Caenorhabditis elegans: one gene and its partners. The protein of the gene in region 3 purifies or fractionates together with the protein of the main gene of each other region. This does not show direct contact. Each region holds a gene or a part of one and is shown on either strand. Other genes may lie near its edges.

Evidence for each region. The genes of interacting proteins can lie anywhere in the genome.
Region 1: the proteins of C37H5.5 (region 3) and Y46E12BL.2 fractionate together in Caenorhabditis elegans (co-fractionation; one large-scale study listed by BioGRID). This does not show direct contact.
Region 2: the proteins of C37H5.5 (region 3) and W04C9.4 fractionate together in Caenorhabditis elegans (co-fractionation; one large-scale study listed by BioGRID). This does not show direct contact.

The regions. Positions count from the first base shown.
Region 1 is NC_003280.10:15,231,169-15,236,210, reverse strand, and holds the start of Y46E12BL.2 (Ribosomal RNA-processing protein 12-like conserved domain-containing protein), read right to left. Parts: upstream 3,059-5,042; 5' UTR 3,050-3,058; coding exon 2,982-3,049; intron 2,917-2,981; coding exon 2,647-2,916; intron 1,725-2,646; coding exon 1,651-1,724; intron 1,602-1,650; coding exon 1,438-1,601; intron 578-1,437; coding exon 271-577; intron 1-270. Other genes in the region: spsb-2 (SPRY domain-containing SOCS box protein 1), read right to left, coding at 3,586-3,722, 4,017-4,182, 4,561-4,643.
Region 2 is NC_003279.8:460,095-463,209, reverse strand, and holds W04C9.4 (uncharacterized protein), read right to left. Parts: upstream 1,216-3,115; 5' UTR 1,211-1,215; coding exon 1,037-1,210; intron 981-1,036; coding exon 892-980; intron 840-891; coding exon 650-839; 3' UTR 559-649; downstream 1-558. Other genes in the region: W04C9.5 (GTP-binding protein), read left to right, coding at 339-553; tol-1 (TIR domain-containing protein), read right to left, coding at 2,000-2,260.
Region 3 is NC_003283.11:4,825,640-4,830,421, reverse strand, and holds the start of C37H5.5 (Nucleolar complex protein 3 homolog), read right to left. Parts: upstream 3,063-4,782; 5' UTR 3,058-3,062; coding exon 2,875-3,057; intron 2,829-2,874; coding exon 2,693-2,828; intron 2,642-2,692; coding exon 2,301-2,641; intron 2,256-2,300; coding exon 1,994-2,255; intron 1,050-1,993; coding exon 979-1,049; intron 729-978; coding exon 1-728. Other genes in the region: Heat shock protein hsp-6, read left to right, coding at 3,667-4,010, 4,078-4,386, 4,435-4,782.

The sequences.
Region 1 (5,042 bases), on a different chromosome or scaffold from region 3:
ATTTTCGAGTAAGAAACACGTTTTCCGTTGACTTTTTGGATTATAAAGTGAAAATTGATTTGAAAAGTTGAATTTTAACTGTAAATTCGAAATTTTCGAGTTAGAAACACATTTTCCGTCGATTTTTTGGATTCTAAAGTGAAAACTCAATTTTTTCGATTTTTTTTCATTTTTCGCGGGATTTTTTACTTTTTGGCTGCAAAATAACTTTTTAGCAGTTATTTTTTGGTAATTTGAGACCGATTTCTTCTCTCAAGCCAAATTACGAACCCAAAAAGCTTTCAATATGATTCAAAATCAGTTGTCCAACTGCTCCGCTCGCCGGATGCAACCCGTTATCCGTCGCAGTAACCGGATCGGTAAGAACCGCCCGGATCACACGACGAGCCATCGTACGGACCCACGGCTTGTCGTGAGCCGCCAGAGCAGCCACAGAGACGAGCATATTCCGCGTATTGGCGCTGGACCAGACGGACGCTTGCTGGGCACGGAGGATGATTCCGAGCACTGAAATGAGGTTTTTCAACGCGGATCCTTCGGTGCTATCGACGTTTTCTAGGAGTTTTGTGTAGAGAATCTGCAAATTATTGATTTTTTTAAATTATAGGTGGATTAAAAACATGCCTATGGGATCACAATGACCGAATATCATGATTTAAAAAATCCAAAAAATTTTTCTAAATTTTATATGATTTTTTTTTGAAAATTGCAAATACCCCATTTCTCCCCTAATTCCTATTTAAATTCCCGCGAATTGGATTCGTGCGGTAGAGCGCTGGCACGTTTTCTAAATTTATTTATTTTATTTTTTGTTATTTATTTTCGTCCGATTTTTCATGTTTTCAGTGTATTTTTGCTTGAAATTTGAAGGAAAATTTGAGATAAATGCAAATAATTGATGAAAAAGCAACGAGACACAGTCTGAAAAAAGAAGAACTAACGATTTTAAACGACATCGAATCAGAATTGGCTGATTTCCTAGATTTACGATTTACGCATTTACGCAAATCTATTACGCAAATCGCAAATCTAGGAAATCAGCCAATTCTGGTTCGATGTCGTTTAAAATCGTTAGTTCTTCTTTTTTCAGACTGTGTCTCGTTGCTTTTTCATCAATTATTTGCATTTATCTCAAATTTTCCTTCAAATTTCAAGCAAAAATACACTGAAAACATGAAAAATCGGACGAAAATAAATAGCAAAAAATAAAATAAACAAAATTAAAAAACGTGCAAGCGCGCTCTATCGAACAAATCCAATTGGCGGAAATTTAAATAGAAATTAGGGGAAAATTGTGATTTTTCCAATTTTCAAAAAATCATATAAAATCTGGAAAATTTTTTTGAACATTTTTATCATGATATTTGGTCATTGTGACCCCATAGGCATGTTTTAAAGCAATTTCCCCACTGCCGCTGCTTCACAAAAAGCCCATACCTGCACAAATCTGTGAAACTGAGCTTGAAGCACCTCTTTCGGCACCTTTCTCACAATCAGATGAAGCAGATAAGCGATTGCTGCCGTTCTTCTGGGATTTCCCAGCGAGGATCCTTCCAGCGCGGTCATCAGAGCCGCACAGTACTCAACGTCGGATTCTTTGCCTGAAAATCCCTAATTTTTAGGCCTAAAATTATGGGGGAATTAAACTACCATCCCGCTCTTTGATGACTTCAGCGATTGCTGCCAAAACCGAGACAACCTCTGCTTGAATAGAGGACCCAGATCTGAAGAAATAAATCTATCAGTCTACGGCTCGTGCTTTGGAAAAGAGATTCAAGAGTTTAAAATCAAATTTGAAAATAAAAAATTCCCGGTCTCCTGGAGTGTTATAAATAATTATTAGAGCGCGCTCGTGCGGCACCTCACGAACTCCAGAAGTCGCGGGAATTCGTTCCGCGGGGACAGCAGTTTTTTTGCTATTTTTGGCTCCTATAGGAAATATTTTTGATTTTTTGTTTTATAATATTCTTGAGAAGCATCATCCGAATTGAAAATGTGTAAAATTATGAAATTTAGCCGAAAACTGAAAGTTTTACAGAAGGAAGCCACTACAGTTTTAAAAAAATGTATCAGGATCGCCAGTTTTGCGTTTTATGTGTCGTAAAATATGTCATTTTGTAGAGAATTAAAAGTTTCATACGAATTTTCGTTTGAAAATTTAAAATTGCTTTTATTAAAAGCTTAAAAATTTAAGAAACAAGATTTTAACGTAAAATTGTTGATTTTTTGAATATTTTTATATTAGAAATTAAAGAATTAAAATTTCAAACGAAAATTCTCATGAAACTTTTAATTCTCTACAAAATGACATATTTTACGACGCATAACTCGCAAAACTGGCAATCCTGAAACATTTTTTTAAAAACTATAATGACTTCCTTCTGTAAAACTTTCAGTTTTCGGGCAAATTTCATAATTTTACACATTTTCAATTCGGATGATGCTTCTCAACAATATTATAAAACAAAAAATCAAAAATATTTCTTATAGAAGCCAAAAATAGCAAAAAACTGCTGTCCCCGCTGAACGAATTCCCGCGAATTCTGGAGTTCGTGAGGTGCCGAGCCAGCGCGCTCTAATAATTATGAACACTCCAGGAGGTCGTGAAATTTGTTGAATTTTTGGAAAAAACGCTAAAATTCTCACTTCCAGACCCGATTGACAGAATCAAACGCAGGATTTGTGCAAGCCGTGAATCCGGAGAGCTTAGACAAGCCTCCCTCGGAAACCATGCTTTTCGACGAAGAGCCGATATCCATCGAATGAATCGGAAGAGCCGAGAGCAGCATATCGTCGGCGGCGGCGGTGTTCATGAGACGATCCTCGACGGCAAGCATGCCGGCTCCGCCGAAAGAAGCATTTCTAGCGGCATTGGCAGCGGCGCGATGCTTGCTTCTCGTTGGGTTGCTTTCACATCTGAAAAAACAAAAAAACAATTAAATTTAATTATATTCAACGAATTTATCGACGTTTTCACTCACGCTGATCCTGAATTAAATTTCGCTGCTCCCTTCTTACTTGTACGATGACGGAAATTGCCACCTCCCATTGTTTTTATCTGAAAAAATGACAAATTTGATGGAAAATTCCTAAAACAAGGCGATAAACTGTTGGAAAACGATGAAAACTGATAATTTGAGTGCGCAAAAATTTATTTTATTGATTTTAAGTAAAAAATAACTGAAAAAAACCTTTAAAATGCAAGATTCTCAGCAAGAAATCGGCGAAGAATAGCGAAAAAAAATAAATTGTTCGGTTTTCGTGGCGAGACCCGAGGTGTCCAGAGGCCGCGTCCCCCCGCGTTTTCTAGGCCGTCACGCATTGAAATTGGCGGAAACTCAAATCGTGAAGCGATATTGAACGACAAAAGCTTTTGGAAAAGAGTCAAAATATTTTAAAACATTGTAAAACAAAATTCCAATTTTCATTCAGGTATAAAAGCAATATATTCAATATATAAATCTGAGTAATTCACAATTTGACAGCGAAATTTGCAAAAAAAAAAGTGGTGAAAAACCGTGGGGATTTGTGGGTTAGTGGAAAAGAGGAGAAAAATGTGAATTTTTGGCGAGAAAATGATCAATATCACTCAATCTCATACAACAAATATTCCTTCATAACCGGCGGGATCATCAGCGGCTTGATGCGTTTGTCGGGGTCTGGTCCCATTATGCTTCGGAAACGACGTCGACACAGTTCGAACAACGGTAGCATCTCGACTGCTGAAAAAAAAAAACAAGAATTTCGATTTGGTTCTGGCTTTTCTCGAATTTTTACAACTAAAATTTAGCTAAAACCGAGCCGAGCCGCGACGCGACGCGACACGCAAAGCGCCGTAAATCTACACCGGCCGTGGCCGATTCACAGCGCGTTGCGTGTCGCGTCGCGGCTCGGTTTTATTTGTAAAACATGATTTTAGAAACCGCGATTTCTCAGAAAAGAAACTCCGAGAAGGAGATCTACAAAAAGACAGCCATCACACCCTTTTTTCTGCGCCGCACGTTTACAAAACTCACGTTCCAGTGATCCCAGATGTGTCATGGTAATCTCACAGTCTCCATAAAGAGTCGCCACAGCTGGGTATAATCGTTTTCCCCGGAGATTTTGGAATACAACTCCGAGGTACTCGTTGTCTGTGGCGAATGACAGATTTCCTTGCTCCATGTCCAGAATGCAATAGATCTGAAAATTGATTGTTTTTGGGTTTTTGATCAAAAATTTCAAAAAAAAAAATGTTTTTTTTGTTTTTTATAGCAAAAATGGTTTTTTTGGTATTTTTTGGCAAAAAATTGGTTTTTTTTGTTACAAAATTGAGATTTTTTGGGTTTTTTTAAAGCAAAAAGAGATTTTTTGCCAAAAATAGGTATTTTATTGGCAAAAGATAATTTTTGCCACTTTTTTTTTGGCAAAATTGAGATTTCGGTTTTTTTGACAAAACTTGATTTTTTTGGGTTTTTCAAAACGAAAATTGATTTTTTATCTGGCGAAAATGGTTTTTTTTTTGGGTTTTATGGCCAGAAATTGATTTTTTCGGTTTTTTTTTTTGGGAAAATTGTTCACCTTTTCAGGAACATTGAAACCATCTCGACCATTCCCGTACGGATACTTCCACTTCCACGAACCGTAGTGACATTCTCGTGTAGCTGAAAAAATTGAAGAGTTTGGGTTTTCAATCGCTTTTTCTAAATTTTCTTTTTGTATTTAACATTTAAAACTGGCCAATTTGCATAATATTTGCCTATGGGGTCACAATGACCGAATACCATGATTAAAAATTCAAAATAATTTTCTAGATTTTATATGATTTTTTGAAAATTGAAAAAATCTCACTTTTCCCCTAATTCCTTTTTGAATTTCCGCCAATTGATTCGTTCGATGGAGCGCGCTTGCATTTAAAAAATTTTTTTTTCATCAATTTTTCGCATTTTTGACTGATTTTTCATGTTTTTTCGTGTAATTTTATTGGAAATTTACCGAAAAATTCAAGATAAATGTAAATTGTTCATTAAAAAGCGGGTATTAAAGTCTAAATTTGTGAAATT
Region 2 (3,115 bases), on a different chromosome or scaffold from region 3:
GAGCGCGCTTGCATTTTGAAAAAATCGAAATTTATCGGAAACTGCGCGTAATGTTTGGTTTTATTAATTTTGTTTAACAATTATATAATTTCAAATGGAGGAAAATTTTGTGAAATTTGAGCATTATCGATTTTTCATAAGTTTATCAATGGAGCGCGTTTGCAAAGTAAAGTATTTTGAATTTTTGTTCGTCAAATGTGATGCATTGCGTATAAAATCGTCAAAGGAAAATTCTTCGATGCACCATGTTTTTCAACCAAAAAAAACGATGCAACGCGTGCCGCGTCGCGGCTCCACGTGGAACTTCAAATTATCGATTTTTAAATTGATTTTTCCAGAAGGAGCCTGCCTGGCCAAAGTACACAAGTGCAATTTCGTCGAAGTTTCCGCGCAGTACTCGATGAACATTTCTGAGCTCTGGACAATAATTCTAAAGCAGCTACAGGCTCCGAAAGCGGAGCTCGAGGAGCCCAATGGATGGATGCATCGAATCGTGACACGTGGCAAACAGTTGGCTCACTCAGCTGAGCAAATTGTGCAAAAGTTTTTGTGATAAATAAATTTTCGATTATTTTATGTGGAAAATGAAAAACAGTAACAAAATCAACAAAAAAAAACAATTTTAAAAATGCCGCGGAAAAATCCAAAATCACTGCTCCATCACCTCGGCTTCACCCTCCTCGTCATCTTCACCGTCTCCGGCCAGTTCCGCCTGAATTTTTCGATATTTGTCGCGTGCGTCGTGTGTCATCTTCTTGTACATCTTCTTTGCCTTCTTTTTTGTGATGTATTGAGCAGTGGTGCCACGTTTTCCAGTCGGAGCGTCCAGGATCTTTTTGCTGAAATTGAAAAAAACAATTTTTTTGTTTGGAGAGATCGAGAAAATCCTACTTCTCTCGAACTGGAAGCTCTGTCTTGCGGATAATCTTCTTCTCGTTCACTTTTGGCACGTTTTGCAGCTCACCGGAGGCCAATTTTTTCTGAAAAAAAAAATCAAAATCAAGAATTTCGCCGAGTTTTTCCTTTTTTTTCTCACCAGCGACGATACGGCGAGTCCTCTGACTCTCACCACCTCCTCCTTCATCTCAACATCCACTTCACCGTCTTTTTTGGCATTTTTAGCGTCTGCCTTCATGCGTTGCGCTTTTTTTACTGTCACCGCCACCTTGTTCTTGACACGATTTTTCTTCTGATTGCTGAATTTGCCCATCTTCGCTGAAAATTCAAGAATTTTGAGAATTAAAAATCGATGAAAATTTAATTTTTGAGAGCAAAATTCGAAAGGGGTAATTTAATGACCGAAAATTGGAATTTTATTGGAAAAATGTGTAAATTAAATTAATTTCGACATTATTTAAGAGATAATTGACTATTTAGTTGAGAAAAACTGAAAAAATAGGCCGAAAAACTGATGATAAAATGGGAATTCTTTCACCCGAGAGGAGTACACCACTGGGCGGCCGCGGAGATGTTAGGCCACCCGCTTGTGAACTCCTCTCGAACAAGCTAATATACTATTTTTTTTATTCATTTTTTGCGTGTTTTCAAGAATTTCTACCGAATTTTTTGCAGCTGAAACAGGAAAAAAAACAAAACAAAAAATTAAAATACAAGCTTCATAAGCATCCGCAAATGACAACAAGAAGAAACGACGATTATTAATATATATATATTACAGAAGATCACACAGGGTAGGACGAGAATTTGAATTTGTGGTGACAGAAAAAAGCAATAATTTGAACTGAAAAACGAGAATATTCAATTATTAAATCAAAAATATAATCGCTGGTCAATTATTAGAGAATGATGGCAAGATTCATAGAAAAAGAAAGAAAATCGAAAAATATAGTACCGGTATTGTTGTAAAAATTCAAAAAATGGCAAATTGTGCACAGAAGAATTGGGGGTGAAAAAGAAACCTCGTGAATAATGGAAACTCGTACATTTGGAAGAGGAAAAAAAATACTAAAAACTGTGACCTAAACGGGAAAACTGTAAGCTAAACAACATCGGAAGGCACAATTCCATAGATATCCGAATATAGTTGAGACGAATCATCGCCACTATTCGATGGTAATGGAAGTCGTGATGGAAGTGATGAGTGCAAAAGTGTCCAGAATAAATGGCTCCGCATCTCGATTCTCGTGTGCTTCCGTAGAATCTGTCCGAGCTCATCGTCCAGCAGATTCGCGTCCACACCGTCGCCGAGCACGGCGATCACTCGTTTTGCACGGTTTTTGGCGAATAGTTGGTGGGAGGTCTGGAAAAATGTGGAGTGTTATTAGTGAATTTCTGGTGTTATAAATTATATTTAGAACAGTTTTTTTTTCAAAAAGTTTTAATTTTTCATACACTTTTTGAAATCTAGCAAAAATAATTCCTAGAAATGTAATTGAATATGATTTAAAAATAGTATTATTAAATCATATTCGATTAAATTTCTAGGAATGTTTTTTTTTTGAGATTTTACAGAAAATTCGGAATTTTTTTGGTTTAAAAATAAATTTTTTGATAGTGTTCAAAAATTAAAACTTGAAAAAAAAATTTTTTTTTTTGAAAATTTGAAATCATAGCGAATTACTCTTTTTAAATCTTATTTAAATAAATTTATAGCAATTTTTTTTGCTGATTTTGATGTTCAAGATTTGAATGAAAATTCAGATTTTTTATCTCAAAAATCTCCAATTTTACAAAAAAAAATACTTCAACTTTTTGTCGATATTTCGAGCATTTTTTACTTTTTCCGAAAAAAAATTTCAAAAAAATTCAATTTTTGAAGGTTCGAGATTGGAAAATCCAAAAAAAAAAAATTTTTAATTTAATGTTTGGAAATTTATTTCATATAATCCAAATTTTAATTTTTTTTTTCTCGAAAATTAGCGAAAAAATTGAAATTTTCGGAATTTCCACCAAATTTTCTGGAATTTCGATAATATTGTTTTCAATATTTGAGTAAATTCCAAATAATTTTTTAAAACAAAAAATCAAATATTTGGATAGTAATTTTGAACGGTACAATAGTCATATAAAATAATTACAGTAGCTTTTGCTACGAGATATTTTGCGCAACACGCATTCTCAGAATTTTTAAGAACATCTTATTTTTACGAATATA
Region 3 (4,782 bases):
AGAACTCGATAGGCCAGACGGTAGAATTTTGATGGATCAATATTCAAAAGTTGACCATCTCCAGACAAGATTACAAAGACTGTATTGATGCAATGAAGTTGATCCAATGATTTGAGATTCTCATTTTGAACCATATTCTCCATAGTTGAAACGATATCCTCGTAGAATTCAATGCTCAAAAGATGAGCAAATTTGCTGAGTCCTTCGAGAACTGGCTCGAGAAGAGCCGAGTTTGGCATACGCTTCAAAATTGAGAAATATGATTGAAAGGCGAATTTCATGGCTTCTGTGGCGTTCTTCAACTTTTTGCTCATCGACTCTTCGGCTTCAACCTCCAAAAGATCGGCTTCAAGTCTGGCAAGTTGTTTCTTATACTTCTTCGCCGTCTTGCTCGCTTTCTCCTTCTTGATTTGATATTTCTTCGCAATAAGTGCATCTTTTCCAGACTTTTTATCCTCATCTTTCACTTCAGTAATATTCATCGATAGAAGAGTCCTTAGAAGCTCTGGCGGTACTCTTCCTTTCCTCTTTGTCACGAGAGTCGAGATGGAGCGAGCAGTGAACAGGGTGATTTTGAGATGAATATCCTCTTTGAAAACTGTCCGGATAGCCTCGCACACTTCTCGAATAACTGTCTCATTTTTGGCAAGAGAAAGACGAACGAGACTTGAGACAATGTTCGTAGAGTAGTTGAAGTGTGGAGCGGAGACCACGATTCGAGCTAGCGCCTGTAAAAATTTTTAAAGTTTTTTTTTGATTTTGAGCCGGGAAATCACGTTGTGCCCCAGGCTGTCCCATTTCGGTTTGATCTACAGAAAATGCGGGAATTTTTTGCCCAAACAAATGTGACATCAGCAGCACGTTCTTAACCATGCAAAATCAGTTGAGAACTCTGCGTCTCTTCTCCCGCATTTTTTGTAGATCTACGTAGATCAAGCCGAAATGAGACACTCTGACACGACGTGGGAAATTGATTACCTTCACAGAGAGAATTCCCATTTTGAATGTGAACGTGCTCTCATCATTATGACGATCCTTACCGACCAATTCTGAAAAAAAAAAGGATTTTTTTTGTTTTAATTTTTAAAAAAAGTGGTAATTCTAGCTAAAATCTTCAATTTTGGCCTGTTTTCTGTGGCTTTCAGACTGATGCGACACAGAAAAGTAGTCAAAATTAGAGTTTTATGCTTTTTTTTGTTGATACAATAGAGTAAATCCTCTTATTTCGTAACTACAGTAGATTTTTTGATTTTGGCATGTCTTCTTAAAGGCGCACGGATTTATTCATATGGGTCTCGGCGCGCAAAAGTTTATCGTAGTTTTTTCCTTGTATTTTCGATGTAATTACTTTGTTTTTAGCGAATATTGTTGTTTTCTCTTCAATTTTCTGTTAAAAATTGTTTAAAATAGCTAATTTCAGCCCGACAAACGAGAAAATCACATTTTTAGTGAAAAAAGTGCCATTGTACTTTGAAAACTGATTTAAAACAATTTTTAACAATGAAATGATAAGGAAAACGACAAAAGTCGCTAAAACCGAAAGAATTCCGTTGAAAAATGCAAGAAAAACTGATTAATTCCGTTTTTTTTTCTGTCAAAATTTGTTTTAAAAAACAATTTTAGTACGATAAAACTTTTAAAAAGCATGTTTTTTTTTCCAGTTTGTCAGCCTGAAAAAAAGAAATTTAAAACTACTTTTAGCAGAAAAATGAAGAAAAAAACGATAAAATTTCTTTAAAAATACAAAAAAAAAAACTACCATAAATTTTTCGCGCCAGGACCCTTCAGAATAAATCCTTGCGCCTTTAAGAAGGTATGGTCAAAATTTCTAGCAGATTTCCGCCAAAAAATCTCCAATTTCGGCTATTTTTCCGGGTCGCAGCACGAAAAACAAGCCAAAATTGAAGATTTTAGCTGAAATTAGCCGAAATTTTTAGTTTTTCGCCACGAAATTTGGTAATTTTAGTGATTTCGAGTCCATACAAGCACTCACTATTCGAAAGCTTCTCACACAACTGCAAATACTTGAGGTGATATCTCAACAGCGATTCTTCATAATTAACGAGATTTCTCGTCTCTTTCTTCTGTTTCTGGGCTTTTTCCTCGGCCGTCTGCTCACGAATCGCGTAACCCGGGAGAATATCGAGAAGAACTTGGAGAGTACTAGCGATTGCGAGTTTTTGAACGGATTCTCGCACCAGCGAGTGGATTTTCTCGCCGTTGCACAGATTGTAGAGATCTCGGAGACGGACGATCTGAAAAATTGAGATTTCTGAGAAAAAATTAAAAATTAAATTTACATTGACTTGTGGATTTGATAAAAGCATATTAGCATGTGATGCAATAGTATCTTTGAATTCTTGCATCAATTCCCGTCGTTTTGCAATAAGTTCCGACGCGGAAAGATGCGAAAAATCTTCCCGATGTGGCTCATCCTCTTCTCCTTCTTCTTCTTCATCACCGCTTTTTTCTTCTTCGTCTTCCTTAACTTCTTTTTCTCGTGTCGGACGAATCAGTGTTCCATCTTTTAGCTTAATCGGCAGAAGTTCTTCATGGCCTTCTTCGAGTAGTCCTGCGAATTTTCTCTTTTTCTTCTCAACATCATCTTCATCGTCGCTGTCTGATTCTACACCACTTCTTTCTGCAATTTAACGTTATTAAGTTTATTAACTAATTTTCAAACAACAATTACTTTTCTCAAGCCGCCTTTTTGCGTTGGCAAATGCGCTGTTCTCCCAATCGATATCTGCGTCCATCATGTCCAATGGCAAATCTTCATCACTATTCTCATAATGAGCTTGTCTGTCGGCGATGAAATCATCTTCAATCTGAAAATTATTGGATAAATTGTTTTATTTTCGAAAAATTGCTCACATTAACAGCTCTCTGCCTCAAATCTGCAGATTTTCTTGATTTAATATCTGCCATTCCATCGCGAATCTCTCTCGACAGCTTTTTCCGCTTTGCAAGGCGATTTAAATGTTTCGTAGTTTTTCTTGTTTTATTTGTCTTCAGCATTTTCAGCTTCTCTTCGCGAGAAGCGGAAGCGAATCCCATGTTTTCTGCAAAATAATCATTGATTTTAACACCTCGTAAAATAATTTTAAAAAAAGAAGTTAAAATTTTAATTGCAACCCTATTTGTAAAAAGAAAACTCATTTTCGCCAAAAATAAAGCAAAAATAATTCAAGAGAAAAACGCGCCGCGTGTTGCGATTGGGGCGTAACTGCAATGTGTGCGCACACAATCTCAACAAGCGCTGCGAGACCCGCCGCCTGACCGTAATGTGAAATGGGCGGAGACGAGAAGTTTTTTTCTGTTTGAAAGTTGATGCAAAAGCCCGTGATTCTTTTTTTCGAGAAATTTCTCGAGTTTTTTCCAACGAAAAATTCATTAAATTTAAACCTTTTAGCTCTCCTTTCCAATATTTTGCATCATTATTCTCCTAAAACTTGGCATATTCAGTGGAAATGATGCAAAATGCCCTGACTTTTGTTATCAAAAATACAAGAAATTGTCCCGTTTAACGGTTGAAAAGCAAATTTTGTGTCATTTTGTTTAGGAAATGTCAAAATAAGCTCAAAAACCGATTACAAATTATATTTTACTGCTTTTTATCCTATTTTCTCGCGTTTTCGTTCATGATGCAATTTTCTTTCAGGCACTATGCTTTCCGCACGATCATTCTTGTCTTCCGCTCGCACAATTGCTCGATCGAGCTTGATGAGCGCCAGAAGCTTGTCGGACAAACCAAAGGGACATGTTATCGGAATTGATCTTGGAACCACAAACTCCTGTGTCAGTATCATGGAAGGAAAGACTCCAAAAGTTATCGAGAACGCAGAAGGAGTCAGAACCACTCCATCGACGGTTGCTTTCACTGCTGACGGTGAGCGTCTTGTTGGAGCTCCAGCCAAAAGACAGGCCGTTACCAACTCTGCCAATACTCTTTTCGCCACAAAGAGATTGATCGGAAGAAGATACGAAGACCCAGAGGTTCAAAAGGACTTGTAAGGACTCTTTTCACTAAATTTTCTTTTAAAAAAGGACTCTTTTCACTAAATTTTCATTTTTCAGAAAGGTCGTTCCATACAAGATTGTCAAAGCCAGCAACGGAGACGCGTGGGTTGAGGCTCAAGGAAAAGTGTATTCCCCATCTCAGGTTGGAGCATTCGTTCTGATGAAGATGAAGGAAACTGCCGAAAGCTATTTGGGAACCACCGTCAACAACGCCGTTGTTACAGTTCCAGCTTACTTCAACGATTCTCAGCGTCAAGCTACTAAGGATGCTGGACAAATCTCTGGTCTTAACGTTCTTCGTGTCATCAACGAGCCAACTGCTGCCGCTCTCGCCTATGGATTGGATAAGGACGCTGGAGATAAGATGTAGGCTAAGCGCTCGAGTAATACTTTTCACAATATATATTTTTTTAGCATCGCTGTCTACGATCTTGGAGGTGGTACTTTCGATGTGTCAATTCTTGAAATCCAAAAGGGCGTCTTCGAGGTCAAGTCCACCAACGGAGATACATTCCTCGGAGGAGAAGACTTCGATCACGCTCTCGTCCATCACCTCGTTGGAGAGTTCAAGAAGGAGCAAGGAGTTGATCTTACCAAGGATCCACAGGCCATGCAGAGACTTCGTGAAGCCGCCGAGAAGGCCAAGTGCGAACTTTCATCCACCACCCAGACCGACATTAATCTTCCATACATCACCATGGATCAATCTGGACCAAAACATCTTAACTTGAAGCTCACCAGAGCCAAGTTCGAGCAGATTGT